Pelodiscus sinensis: one gene and its partner. The protein of the gene in region 1 interacts with the protein of each later gene in a biochemical or structural test. Links are inferred from orthologs where the notes say so. Each region holds a gene or a part of one and is shown in the gene's direction. Other genes may lie near its edges.

The links. The genes of interacting proteins can lie anywhere in the genome.
Region 2: the proteins of ERBB3 (region 1) and TNS3 form a complex in vitro, tested with the Homo sapiens proteins (2 studies listed by BioGRID and IntAct, with this or other methods). The link is inferred for Pelodiscus sinensis from reciprocal best matches to the Homo sapiens genes ERBB3 and TNS3.

What each region holds. Positions count from the first base shown.
Region 1 is NC_134729.1:4,212,894-4,220,013, reverse strand, and holds the start of ERBB3 (receptor tyrosine-protein kinase erbB-3), read left to right. Parts: upstream 1-4,017; 5' UTR 4,018-4,277; coding exon 4,278-4,362; intron 4,363-7,120. UniProt on the Homo sapiens protein: Tyrosine-protein kinase that plays an essential role as cell surface receptor for neuregulins.
Region 2 is NC_134712.1:158,286,765-158,294,105, forward strand, and holds the start of TNS3 (tensin-3), read left to right. Parts: upstream 1-4,329; 5' UTR 4,330-4,692; coding exon 4,693-4,794; intron 4,795-7,341. UniProt on the Homo sapiens protein: May act as a protein phosphatase and/or a lipid phosphatase. Involved in the dissociation of the integrin-tensin-actin complex. EGF activates TNS4 and down-regulates TNS3 which results in capping the tail of ITGB1.

The sequences.
Region 1 (7,120 bases):
GGTGGCAGGAGTCTCTCCATAGCTCACTGGCTGTGTCCCCAAAGTGTGGGGCAGAGGCGCCTGCACTCCTAGCCACAGTTAGATGCAACTCAGCAGATAGAACAGAAAATATTAGTCCACAAGGACACACCATAGAACAGACTTGTCAGCACAGGAACCAGAAGCAGCCGGTACCATCCGTCTTGGGCGGTGGAGGGGGGAGAGGAGGCCCGGAGCCAGGGCTGTGGCCCTCCTGCCTCCCAAGCCATCTGCTGCTGACTTGCTCCCAGGTCCTGGTCCCAGGCTGCTCCTCCAGCCTTTGTCCTGCTTCCCTGGCAAAAGGTATCACCTGGTACCCCCTCTGGTTCAAGTCACAGAGGGCATTAGCCTTTGGGGAGGGGGCGAGGGAGGCTGGGGCAGTCTCCCTCCATGGAAGTCACTCTTGAAATTCCCATCACTATCTAGGACAGGGCTACTCAACTTTGGAAGCCCTGGGGGCCACAATGATACAACACACGCAGCAACGTAAGAGTGGTTGCCTATACATGCAAATATATTCAAATAGCTTTCACACTGCCAGGCAAGACTACACAACATGCAGGCCCCATTTATGTCAGTTCTGATATTAAAATGCGATATTTACCCGATTTCCACCCCTATGACCACTTTTAATGAGCCATGACAGTCCAGGAATTTACTAAAATGCATATCGACAAAAGACCATTATATTGATTTGCCATTGTGGAGTGTGTTCCCAGTGGAGCCATGTTCAAAGGATCCCCGCTGTGGGCCCTGTATAAACCTGATGGCTGCGTCTAGCTGGCAAGTTTTTCTGCAAAAGCAGCTGCTTTTATGGAAAAACTTGCTGGCTGTCTACACTGGCTGCCTGAATTTCCGCAAGAACACTGACGATCTCATGTAAGATTGTGTGTTCTTGCGGAAATGCTACGCTGCTCCCGTTTGGGCAAAAGCCCTCTTGTGCAAATGCTTTGCGGAAGAGGGCCAGTGTAGACAACGCGGTATTTTGTGCAAAAAAGCCCTGATGGTGATTGGGGCTTTCTTGCGCAAAGCCACGTCTAGATTGGCACGGACGCTTTTCCACAAAAAGTGCTTTTGCAGAAAAGTGTCCGTGCCAATCTAGACACTCTTTCCCGCAAATGCTTTTAACGGAAAAACTTTTCCGTTAAAAGTATTTGTGGAAAACCATGCCAATCTGGACGTAGCCAAATTGTATTGTGGGCCATAAGCAGGCTGTGGGCCACAGGCAGCCCGTGGGCTGTGTGTTGAGTAGCCCTGAGCTAGGGATTAGTACAGTGCTCAGGGAAACTGAGGCATGCAGTTACTGTAGGACAGAACTCTGCTGCATCCTGTTGGGGGGCTCAATGCATGCCAGGGGCTGGCCCTGCCTGGGATCATGGCAATTGGTGGATGGGCCTCACAGCATAAAATGAACCCTTTGGGCTGGCAGGGGGGCCCAAAGGCCCATCTGTGGCAGACTGGGGGGTGGAGGGTGTATTGCAGAGTGTGGCTGTTGCGGGACGACTTGGGGAGGCCTTGTCAGGGTTGTTGGTTGCTAAATAATCAACGCTGCAGAAACCGCACAAGCTGGGCAACCGGTCCTGTCCCTTAGCTGTTGGCACGTGCAGGGAGCGTGTCTCCCATGGGCTGTGCATGGGTATCCAGCGGGAGCCAGGGTTCCTCCAGCTTGGCACTTAGAGCCCTGTGTGTAGGTGCAAGAGGACTTGCCCAGCTCGTGTGCCATCTAGCAGCATGGTCTGCTCCTGGAGTGAGCTTGGCTAAGTGGTGCTATTGCACTGAGTGGGTTCAAGTGGAGCAAAGCAGGCCTAGCTCAGCCCAAGTGGGCCCCTGTTCTCGCTAAGGACAGGGTCTGGCTGCTTGCCCTACCAGCCTGGCCTCCCATAGCTGTCTGCAGCCTAGGCCCAGAAGTGTTGGGTGTCTGGAGAACATGCCCAGCCGGGATGCAGGCAGGATGGGAGCAGACTCCTGTGCTCCAGTTCATCTTTGGGCGGGGCCCCCTTTGCACCAGCCCTGAGGGCAATGTGGGGGGGGGGGCAATGTGGGGGGGGCTGTCTGAAGAGCTCTGCCAGGCTGATGCCCCGTTTCCTGGGAGAATTGCTGGGGACCCAGCAAGGAACTGGAGGTTGCGGGGAGATGATGTGACATCCTAGTGGCCTGCGTCTTTGTCAGCAGCCAGAGCTTAGGCCTAAAGAGAAAGTCCCTGAAATGGCCACCGGGGGGCGCCCTAGAGCTGGAACAGGTGCAGGCTCAGCTCCAAATCCTGATCAACCAGGCTGGTAATTTTAGGGGCGTGTTTGGGGTCCTGTCTCCTGGAGGCTCCAGCAGCTTTGGGAAAGGAGAGAGCCACCCTAGAGGCCTGAAAAAGAAAAGGTTTGGGTCTGTTTACTGCTGCCCTGGCCAAGAGGACACAGGGACTGAAAATGATAGCAGAGAAGGGCTGTCGGGAACCTTTGTTTACTTTCTCTCGTGACCTAGGGACAAAAGGCAACAAAGTGTGTGATTGGCCTGTGGAACTCTCTGCCACAACAACTCACCGGGGCCAAGAATTCACCTGGGGCCAATGACTGACTACATGAGTCTCTGATTAAAAAGGGGTAAAAATAACCAGGTGTGTTTCCACTGTCCCTAACTCCCTATGGCAAAGAGTGAAGTGGTGTGGGGGGGGGGGGCTACAAGGCCCTATTGCTCAGGGATTCCTGGGGCTTTTCACCTCTAAGTCCCTACTTGAACATGAAGGAGATTAGAAAATGGTCCCCGAAAATGGCCGATATTGGCCCATATGAAAAGAAGCGGTTGGGCTGAAACCAGTTCTTCATATTAGGTGCATTATGGTAACAGCTCTTGGTGCCCGACTCACTAACCCACCCCTCGCTGTGCTGGGTTCTGCAGGCTGTTTAATAGGTCTATTATGGTCGCAGCTAGCCCTGCTCTGCCCCCCGCAATCTAGCCACAGACCAGGGCTGCCAGTCACGGGACTTCGTGCTGTATAAACACAAAGATGGGCCCTGCCCCCTAAGACTTCCTGGGCTGGGTGCCAAGGACTGAATGGGGCAAGTCGCCACTCTCCGGAGGGGATGTTGGTAATGTGGGGGGGGGCTGCCTGAAGAGCTCTGCCAGGCTGCTGAGCTGGCTCCATGCCCGCCATGGGGCTGGTGCGGAGTTGCCGGCGCCCACCAGGAGTGCGTCATGCTGCTGACGACCCAGCTCCCCTCCCGCCTCCATCTCTGAGCTCATTTCCTCTCAGGCCTGCGCCTGACTGCGGCCATTGTTCCCCCCACCCACTCTGGAATCTGTAACGTGCCCCCCCCCAGCTGTCCACAATGCCCGTGCGCCCAGCTGTAGACGTGCGCCCAGCTGTAGATGTGCAGTGCTCTGCAGCTGATGATGGGCGGGAGCAGAAGTTTTGGACTGGCCAAGCGACCAGGGACAGGTGCAGAGCAGAGCTTGGGGGTGGCATGTGCCAACTGCAGAAACAAAACGCGGGTGGGAAGCCGAGGCGAGGCCCGCTAAGGAGTGCAGGGGCAAGATAGGGGCATGGGCCCGTGGTTGGCCCCCAGGCTCGTAGCTGGGGTACGTGAGTTCTAATTCTGATGCTCCCTTGTGATGCCCCCCCTCCACCGCTGTGTCTGCCTCCCCCGCCAAAGGGTATAGGGTTATTTCCCCACTTGGACACCTGGGTTCATTTCCTGTCTCTGCCCCCGGGGCCAGATCCTCACGGGAGTTGGAGATTTCAATGCCAGGTAGGCCCCGCACTGTCTGGTAGGAGCTGAGGGACGCAGGGCGGGATCTCTTCTCTGACCCATGCCTGGGGCATTGTAAGCTGCCTGGGGCAGAGACCCAGTGGCTGGTGCAGCCGGAACCTGCCCGACGATCAGCGACTGGCTGAGCCCTGCCCAGCCCAGGGGGCGAGGGGTGGGGGCACAAGGGGGCTCAGACCCAGTCCCCCGCCACCCCTCAGCTGGTCCGTCTCTGATTGGCTGGGGCGGGCAGCCAATGAGCGGCCGGCGCAGCTACTCCTGAATGAAGAGTGTGTGTGTTTGTACCCGCTCCAGCAGCTGCGGGTGTCCCGAGCGCGGATCAAAGCGGCTGCCCGGGCAGGCGACACGGGAGCGGGGCTGCCGACGCGGACCGAGGCACCGGCCGCCAGAGGCGCCGCCTGGCCCGGCCCAGCCCCTCTCCCTGCCCCAGCGGGGATCAGGTGGCGGCTGCCTCTGCCCGGCATGTCCTAGCCCGTCCGGGCTGCCTGCCCCGGCTGAGAAATGCGGAGGATCCTGCTCCCGGCGGGGTTCCCCTGCTGGCTCGTGGTCCTGTTCTGGCGCCCGGAGCTCGTGGCCTCCCAGGCGGGTAAGTCAAGGCAGGAGCGAGCTTCGGAGTCGCTCCGGAGCCGGGCACAGCGGGGGGGTGTTTGTATCCCGGGTGTCACTCGCGCTTCAGGCTCCGCTTTTGAACCTGCTCTACCGAGGGGCAGAGCCCCAAGAGGGCCCCCCCGAACCCCCCCAAAATCGTAATTCCCCCTCATGCCCCTTTGGGCGACCGTCCCTGCCCCCACCCCACAGGCACCAGAACTACCCCTCCCCCCCCACCTGCTCCGGGGCAGAGTTTAGCGCTGGGTGTTTTGCAGGGGTCTGGGGAGCGCAGGGCGGGACAGGGGGTCTCACAGGCCCCGGGCCGGGCAGCCCCCCAGCGGGTGTGGATCTGGCCCAGAGGTTACTCCCGGGAAGCAGGGGGCTGGACTCTGCACTGGTACCGGAGGTTACAGGCACCGTGGGCAAGTGCCTTGCAGAGGTCAGGCCCGGAGGTCGTGGCCTAGGGAGCCGATGGGAGGGGACCTGCCGACGAGCTGCAGCAGGGTGTGACCAGCCCCCCCGAGTCACTAGCCACTTTTACCCAGGACTGGCCTTGGTCTGACCTCCCCCCCCCCCCCCCGCATGAACCCTTCCTGGAGTGAATTTCTTGGGTCTCTGAGCTCATGGCAGTATCAGGGCCCCAAGTCTCAAAGGGATTCAGGTGCCTGCTCCTAGGGGAGTCAGGTGCGGGACTAACCGCAGGGTGCCGGGGCGGGACTGTACTGGTTACGGCTTTGGAAGAGAATCATCAGCCTCGCGCTTGCGGCGCCTCTGCCTTCAGCTGCCGGGGTGGCTCTTTGTGACTTTGATTTCTGGGGGTTGCGGGAAGGAGGCTGATCTGCCAGGTGCCACGTCAAGCCCCTGGCCTGACCATCATGTCTGTGCTGGTATGGCCCTGCCTCAGGGTCAGGGCCCGGAGGATCCCCCCCCCTCCGCATTTCTTTCCCCCCCAACAAAGATCACAGCCCCTATGGGTTTAAGCAGGAGAAATTAACGAGACACGGGAGCATGCGGGAGAGCCTCGGGTTTCTTTCCCGAGAGGCCGAGTCGGAATGTGCACCCGGCTGCGGGAAAGCGAGATGCTTGCAGATAAGGCCGGGCAGGGAGGGCCAAGTCTGGGGCTGTTTGGTATCTTGCTTTACAAGTTCTAGGTCTCTCCGCGGGGCCTCTCTCTTGAGTACACTTGATGAACAGGCTTTGGCAAGTTAAGGCACTTGGAATTAAAGGTGCTATTTGAACGGCCAACGTTTCCTGGCGCCCGGCCATCCGCCCGCTCCCTGGGCACCTGTTGCGTGTGTTTGTGGGGCGGGAAGGCCGTTTCGCTGGTGGGTGGGGCACTTTCAAAACTCTTCCGTGGGCTGGTGAAATCAGCAACAAAACAACTGGGCGGGCCTAGGGTGCAAAGAGCAGTGGGTTTATTCCCAGCTGAGCCGTGCATATGGCCAGCGGGAACAATTCACTCTGAGAGTGACGCTGGGACCTAGCGCTTTGCCACCCTCTCAAAAGAGCCCCCATCTTACCCGGCTTCTCTGCCACGCCGGCAATGATGCCTCACCCACGCGCCCAATGACGTCCTGTGACAGAGGGGGTGGGTAGGGTGGGCATATTGTTCCCCTCCTCCGGCTCCGTGCCTCAGTTTCCCCACATGACAGGGGGAGGAGCGCTGATTCTCTCTTGCAGGGCTGATTGGTTCGTGCTGAAGGGGGCTCAGATCCTTGGATGGCAACACCAGGGCAAACTATTGGGGTGAAGATTATAATGGGTCTCGTCCACCCTGCCAGCTCATGGTCCCGGGAGCCAGCCTGGGCTCTGATCTGGCTGCTAGGGACCAGTCTGGGGGATGGTTTCCAGCCCCTGCAGTTGGTTCCCTGTGTATGGAGGGGAAGAAGCAGCATCCCCCCATGTATGGAAGTGAGTTGCTGGGTCAGACTCCCTGCCCTGAGCTCTTGGTCACAGTGGCCTGCCAGGTCTGCCGACCTGGTTCTCTTACCATCCTGGGGGCAGCTCCCAGCGAGCCATATGGAGGCCTTAGAAGACGTAGGGAGCTGCCTCCGTTGCTGTGATGCCCTGGCCTTGCGCCCCACGGCAGGCGCAGGTTGGCTGGATTGTTCTGAACTGAATCTTTCCTGTAGAGCCCCCATAGCCGGTTTTGGGGGCTCTCTAAGCATGCGGGTCTGAGCGGCTCTAGGGCAGGGGGGCGGTGCAAAGCCACCTGAAAGCAACACGCCATGGGGACCTCCTGGCAGGCACTGGGCTGCTCGGAGGGGGGGAAAGGGCAGCGTTTCCGGGGGGGGGGGGGGGGAGGGACTGAAAGTAACGCCGGGCTGCTGCATGTAAGAGCGTATCATCCCCAGCCAGCTGGCTCAGTTTCTTAATGAGCCTCTGGCTGAGTCATCACCCAACCAAGGTGGTGTCCTGCCTTGCAAGCAGAGCACCTGGCTTCCGCTGCCAGCCCTGGGCGGGGCACAGGGCCTAGTGATGAGAGCTGGGACTCAAGGTTCTACTCCCAGGTCTGGCTTTCGCTGTATGGCTTTAGGCAACCCCCTGCCTCAGTTTCCCACTAGCCTGTCAGTGGAAGGACTCCTGAGGAGGAGTGTTCTCCAGGAGGGGGTCTGACATTCTAATGGGGAACATTGTCCACGGCAGGGACCCAGGAGTCCTGGAGAATCTCTGGAGGAGGAGGAGGCCAGCGCACGATGACGGCTTTTCACAGGGGATTCCCACGAGCGCTCGGCGACGGAGCCGTGGTTATTCAT
Region 2 (7,341 bases), on another chromosome or scaffold:
CTCAAGCCAATAAAGGCCTTCCCCCCCTTCAGGACTGCAGCCAAAGGTTGGGAGAGAGGGAAGAGGGTTTGGGGCAAGGGGGCTACTTAGTTGGTCTGGTGGAAGGCAAGATGGTTAGCACCTGCACTGCTGCCCATTCCCTTGGTGGTGTAGCTGCCCCCTGGAGCCAATATGCTGTATAGATCTCCCCTGCACTTGCTGCCTCCAGTGCATACTCTCAATATCGTGTCCCTTCCCGCTATGCCCCCTCCCTTTCCATGTTGTGGAAAACAGTCCAATTTCTAGCACTCCCGTTTCCCTGACACAACCAAACTTGCTTTAAGTTAAGCTAAGAGGAAGCTGCAGACTAAATTTGGTGGTCCTAGCTCTTACTGTTTAGGAAGCGTTCTTGAACAAATGGACTCATTGACAGACTTGTGCACATTTCTAAAATATATAGATAGATTGGACGACTATTATATAGTTATGTAAATGCATGAAATCAAGAAACTCTAAACAGATTTCTTAAAGAAGAAGCAACTCATCAACAATGTTGTCCAGCTGGCATATACATTTAAGTAAATTTGCTTATTGATATTTCCTTTAAAATGTGCATGTATGGCTACCAAATTATAAAGACCAGGAGCCTGATCCTATGCCATGATGTGCTACTTGAGCTCCTGATTAATCGGAATTGAGGACCTGCAGCATCTCACATGCATGGCCCAGCACCTTGTAGAAATGGGATCTAAATCTACTTCTCCTGCAGTTTGTCTGGTTCACTGAGGTTTGCCAACCATTGGGAAAAAATTTAGGCCATCTTTGAATGGTGGTTGGGCCAATGTGTAGTGTTTCCAAAGTGGTAAAGAAATGAAAGTGAAAACTTAATTGAAATAAGATACTAGAAATGACTTCAGAAGGTGTCAACCATACTTTAGCTACACGATGAACCCCATATCATCAGTTACTATGTAGGGAATATAAATATGAACTGCTATCCTGTCAGACTAATCTTACTGGACACGAGTCTTTCCTCACAAAAGTGTAGGCTCCTCAATTCCTTGTTCTTTTAACACATTAGGCCCTTTTTCATTTCTGGTAAATGGGATTGGATGTTCTTTGTCAGTCTGGAGAATCTCAGATGACTTGATTCCAGCTGGGTGTTGGATTGGACACTTCACCAGTTAGCTGGTGGAGAATCATATAAAAGTGACCTCCACATATTTCTTATTATATATTTTAGAAATGTGCATCTGTCTGTTCGTCCACCTGCGAGTCCGTTTGTTCAAGAACTCCTAAACGGTGAGAGCTAGGACCATCACATTTGGTCTGCAACTTCATCATCATAATTTAAGGCAAGGTCAGGGTTCGGTTGTGCCAGGATAATGGGATATGCCTGAAATTCAATTGTTTCTATAAAATTGAAAGGGAGGGCTTTGGCAAGAGGGAGTTATAGTGCAGACTGACCACAGGTGGGCAGCAAGGGGCCAGAGATGGGTGCTAGGAAAGTTATAACCCCATTGGGCCAACGGGGGGCAGGGGTGGAAAAAAGTAGTTGTCTACTATATATTTCAGAGAGTTTGTCTGTCTGTCCCCCAGCCAGGGCACATGCACCCTTACCCCAGCTTTGCCCCCTGGAGTTGTAGAAGCCATGGAGAGGCACTTCTTTCCTGGACCCAAGCTGCTGCAGTGTGAGAGGGCTAGGTTTTCCTCTCTCCCCAGGGAAGCCTGCATACTGAACCCTTTACCCCAGCCCCAACCTAGAACAATGATTTAAATGAAGAAAACCAAAAATTATTTGACTTAAGAACCTGAGCCACCCTGGGTAAACCTTCTAGTATTCCTATAATAGGATTTCAATAGACCTGAAGATAACTAAAGATTTTTGAGCCAAAGAAGTTTCACAAGAAACATAGTTAATTTCATTATTATGGTACCATACAACCAAGCTCCTCAAGATCTGAGTCTTTCCATGGCTCAGTGTTCATGTTGCACTCCCAGTCAGTACCTGCTAATGATCCACCCAACAGATCAAATTGGGTGAGGAGTCCTAGTCATGTACCACCTAAGATGCATTGTGTATACACTAAGAATGAAAGGCTTACTCGGTAATACATTTGTACCAATAACCCTCCCAGCCCCCCAAACAAACAAATAACCCAACCTTTTTGCCTTGCCTCCTTCAATCTATTCCTTTGTCTGGTGATAAAACCCCCTTGGGGAGTCAGTCTCTGTGACCAGAACCTGCAGCTGCAACTAGGGATATGTTGTTGAGGGCCTATTTTCATTGCCTAAATCACCACGGAAACTGCCTCAGTGTACTTTGCAACTGCTGCCTTGACAAACGGTCAACACATGCATAAGTTCCAACATCTGGTGGAAAGTCCAAATTGATGGTAGAACATGTTAGAGGTGCCCAACACAGACAGCCATATTTATTTCTGTGGGGATACTGGACTCAATCAAGCAAAAGGCATGACATTCAGAGCACGTCTAGGCAATTATATTATGCCTGAAGTCATTTTATGAGGTGTGAGGCTGAGTGACTATAGCTACCTTACAGAAGGCTAAGAAAATGGAGCTCTGAACTCAGGTCTTCTAGGCACTATTGCAAGCCAAATAAACAATAACATAAAAAGCAATTAAACAGGATTTTTTAATTAGAAAAGGAAACAAAAGTTATTTTGATTTGAACCTTTAAATGATGGAATTTCAGCTCAGTTTGAATGTTTATAAATGATTGGTGTGTACAGGTTGGACCTCACTGGTCTGGCACCCTGAGGACCTGAATGGTCCTAAACTAGGGGATTTGCTGTGCCAGGGAAGGTCCCTGTGCTCCAGCCTACCCCTGCTGCTGTCCCAGCTCCCCAGGGCTCTCTAGATGCTGCCAGCCCTGCTGCTGCCAGGCCAGACCACCACAGCTGGAATTCCACAGCCAGGACAGAACTCCACAGCCATTTGGCTCCGCGACTGGAGCTGGAGATGCACAGCCAAGGCTGGGGCAGAGGGCTGGGGACAGAGCTCCCTGGCCACTGCCTAGGCTGGAGCTCCATGGTGGGCCAGAACTCTCTGCTGTGCCACCGGTTTCCCTCACACACACACACTGGGTTGCTGGTGTCCCCTACCACGCTCCTGCCCCACCGCCAGACCTCACTTTTCCTGGGCTCTGTGGTTGCTGGATCAGGGAGTACTAGTTAAGGGAGGTACAACTTGTATTACCTTTTCTGGGAAAGGGCATTGTGGGAAAGGGCAAAACTGATGGGCCCTTTGCTGATAGGCACGGCAACAAATAGACTTTGCCAGGCCCTGAGCAAGGTGTGTGTATGTGGTGGTCGTGGGGGGGAGAGCAGCTACATGCCCCCAGAAGGGGCAGGGCCTCAGGCTGCCTGGGGACACAAAGGCAATTTAAAGGACCCAATGCTGCAGCCACTGCCATCGCCATCACAATGGTGACTGGGAGTCCTGGGCCTTTTTACATCACTGGGCCTCAGGGTAGCTTCCCCCATTGTCCCTCTTCTTTGTGGGCCTGACGATAGGACTCTAAGATTATCAGTTTTGGAAATATATCACAAAGTCCCACCACCACTCAGTTACAGACATCTTCATGGTATCAGAATGTCTCACAACTTATATTTCACAACACCCCAGTGAGGAAGGGAAGTATTATATTCTGTATGATCCTTATTTTACAGGGGAAGAAGCTGAGATAAAGAAAGAGTAGAGAGCAGAGTTTCACAATAATGTAATCGAGTTTGAGGGCTCAGCTGTAGACATCTATTTCCTGATTGATTTCTGTGGGAGCTGCCAGCACTCAGTACCTCTGAAAATTAGGCTTTTTGTTTTCTAAAGTTTGGGATGCAAAAAATTAAGACCTCCAAAATTACATTCCCCTTTGAAAGTTTGCACAAGATCATGCTTGTCTTTGGCAGAAATAGAACTCAAACCCCTGTCTCTGGGCTGCCGGTGTTTTGCCTGAACCACTTGACTATTCTTCCTCCCCATTAACAGCGTGCATCATTTTGCAGGCAGGAAAAGTAAGTTATGTTAAAGCCAAGGGGAATTAATTAATGTACACAGGCAGACGGACTACACAAAGAAGCAGGAAATTCCTACAGATTCTCCCCTTCTAAAATTGTGCTTTCAAGGTCCTTCTTAGTGTCGACTTTAAACAACCATTATTTGCTCTCGAATTACTTTGGTATTATCAGCTTGCCTTAGTGACAGATTGCTGGATAGCTCTTTTCTTCTTTCCAAAAGGAGCACACCCTTCAAAACAGACTGTTTTCCAAGTTATTAGTTTCCTTGTTATTGTCTCCATACCATTCAGTGATCCAAAAACCCTCCCACCAGGATAGGAAAGGCTAAGTTTCCCCAGCTGGAGACATAGCTTTAGACACTAGCACTCTCATTTGTTGTCCCTGCCTCAGAAGGGGCACAATGTGGTCAGCATGGGATTCTGATAAGGAAAGAGAACCGGCAGAAAGACAGGGATTTTGAGAGCAGCAGAACCGGGCACAACAAAAGGGCTTCAGCTTGACACTGCTCCAAGAAGCAAAAAAGGTCAAGTGCAGGCAGCAAAAGGTGGCAGGCGCACAGCAAATCTGGGGTTGTTACCTTCGAAAGAGACCAGAGAAGTGGAGTTGATGAGTCCCGTTCACTGACCTGGATTAAAAAGGCTGAGGCTGCAGTTATACCAGATGCCAATAGTGCCTTATGGGCTGTAGAGTGAGCGTGGCTTGCCTAGGGAATGAATTTTGCACAGTGCCACTGGATCATCATTACTTGATACAAGACAAGGCTGAGATCATGATTCAGGTATGTGGAATCTGTATACAAATCCAAAGAACTAATATAGGTGAGGCTGGGGGTTGAGGGGAGAGAACAGGAACGTATCAGATTACTTTGGGCTCCCGGCACTGTTTAAAGCTGAAATTGTCTTTTATTTCCCACTCACAAATCCTACAGTCTGCACACGATTTATTTGTTATGTGGTTCTGTATAACAAGGTTGGATATGTGCAGCAAATATGCTTTAATTAAAGAAAATAAACTGAGAAGTCCTGCCAAAGTTTGAGGTGCTGAAATCCATCCCATTCCCTGAATATTATGTGTGTACATAAGAGGAAAAATCCATGTTAGTTTCCAGTAGTCCGGGTCCAAACTCTCACATGCAGAATGTACAGGATAATTTTAATCCACAGTAGCCACAGGGAGGGCCATTGTGGGTTGCTAAATTGTGTGGTTTAGTAAGTAAACAAGAAAGCAATTAAAAGACTCTTTCCCTCTGGGATATTGCATAAAGCTATTGTACTGCTATAAAAAGCAATTCATTAATGAAGCCAGTGTATCTGTGATTGTGGCAACTTGAGCATTATGTGGGTGCACGTCACCCATTGTAACCATAGGATCACCTACCAGGCAAAAGTTGTGAGCAGCAAATACATGTGTTCACACCGGCTATGGACCAGTTGCCTCATTACAGAAAACAGCTTGTCAGTTGCCTGATGGAACACCAGATAATATGTGGAAAATAAAAAATATCATTTAATTTGTTCACAAAATGTAATAAAAGGAAAGGTTTGGGTATCCTTGGAGGTCCTTTGACTACTTTTCTGTGCACTTTGCAACTTTTATTGATGAATTCTTAGCATTGCAGAATAAAGCTGACATGGCTTCTAACCAAAGTTGAAAATTTCCTTTTAATTGATTGCTGGTCTGATCCACTTCAAAGTTTGAGTGTTGAATTCAGCAATTACAATGTTAATAAATGCATATTATTCTCCTATTAATCTGCGAGCTGAACTATGCTTGTCACACTTGCAAGGCATGATTCATCAGTTTCACAAGTGTATCTGCCAGTGTAAGTGGAGTTCCACTAGCATAAACTGAAGTAACCAAGCAGTACAGCTATTCAATATTATCATATTATTAAATGAAAAATGCAATTGATTTGTGTGGAAACCCTGGAAAGAACAACTGTGAATACACGTGGGTGGATCATTTTGGATTCCATGACTTCACTTCAAACTTGTTTTGTGAAAAATCAGATTCAGCTTTTTTTTAATTAAAAAAAATTTTTTTGTGCTCCCCTTGACTTGCTAGATGTGGACAGGACTGGAAGGGTAAGGACCAATATTTCAGGGGACAGGACAATTTCTCAGCAGTTCAGGCACAAATAGGTGTTGGACATGCGAGGAGTTTCAGGCTATGTCTAGACTATGGAGTTTTCCAGAGGTATCCCAGAAAATCTCTGTCACATCCAGGGTATGCATCTGCTCTTCTGACATTTTTTGCAGAAGTGCTCTTTTGGAAGCCCCTGTATTGCTCTTTTCATGAGGAATAAGGGCTCCTCCAAAGGAGGATGTTTTTTCTAAAATGTGGTCCAGTGTAGATGAGCCAAATTTCAGAAAAACCTCTTTCGAAAAAACAATCGGAAAAAGGTACGCAAATTGTGGAGAGCAATTTGCATAACTCTTTCCGATAAAACTCCGTAGTCTAGATGAAGCCTCAGTGGAAATCTTGCTCCTAAGGGAGTTTCAGCCCAGCTTTGCTCATTCTAGAATTTGAAAAGCATCCATACTTTTGTTTGCTAAACAAACCAAGGCTATGTCTAGACTGCCGCTTTTTTTTGGCAATTTGCGTACCTTTTTCTGAAAATTTTGTCGGAAGAGGTTTTTCTGATATTTGGCCTGTCTACACTGGGCCAAATTTCAGAAAAATCTCCTCTTTCAGAAGAGCCCTTCTTCCTCGTGGAAGGAGGAAAACAGAGCTTCCAAAAGAGCACATCTGCTCTTCTGCAAAAAAATGTCAGAAGAGCAGACGCATTTCCTGGACGTGGCGGAGTTTTTCTGCAATACCTCCGATATCCCAGGAAAAACTCTGTAGTCTAGACATGGCCCAAAACTCTGAAGCTTTGAGGATTGCAGAGCTGTAGATCTTCTCCCATGGCTTCTTTGTGCCTTCGTCCATGTTAATTTAGAGGATATGTCTATACTGCAAGTGAAAGTATGAGGGTAGCATGGATGTGACAGCTTTATTCTACCTAGCATGACTAACAAAAGCAGTGTGGGTATGGAAGATGGGCTGTTAATCAGCAGATATACCTAAGGTCACTATGTCTCTCCTATTAAAGCATGCCTTCATGTATAAATCGTCAAATAGTCATTGGAGCAAAGACTTGAACTTTGGCAGCCATATCCTAGGTGAATGCTCTAATCATCAGGATGATCTCCTTTCTCATTTGCTTTTCTTGACTGTTCATAGCCATCATGATTTACCTCTATGAAAGACCATTGGAGAATCATTGGACCTGGGAAAGAGAGCTCTTGAGGCCAATAAGGGATTTCCCCCTTTGTATTTTCCC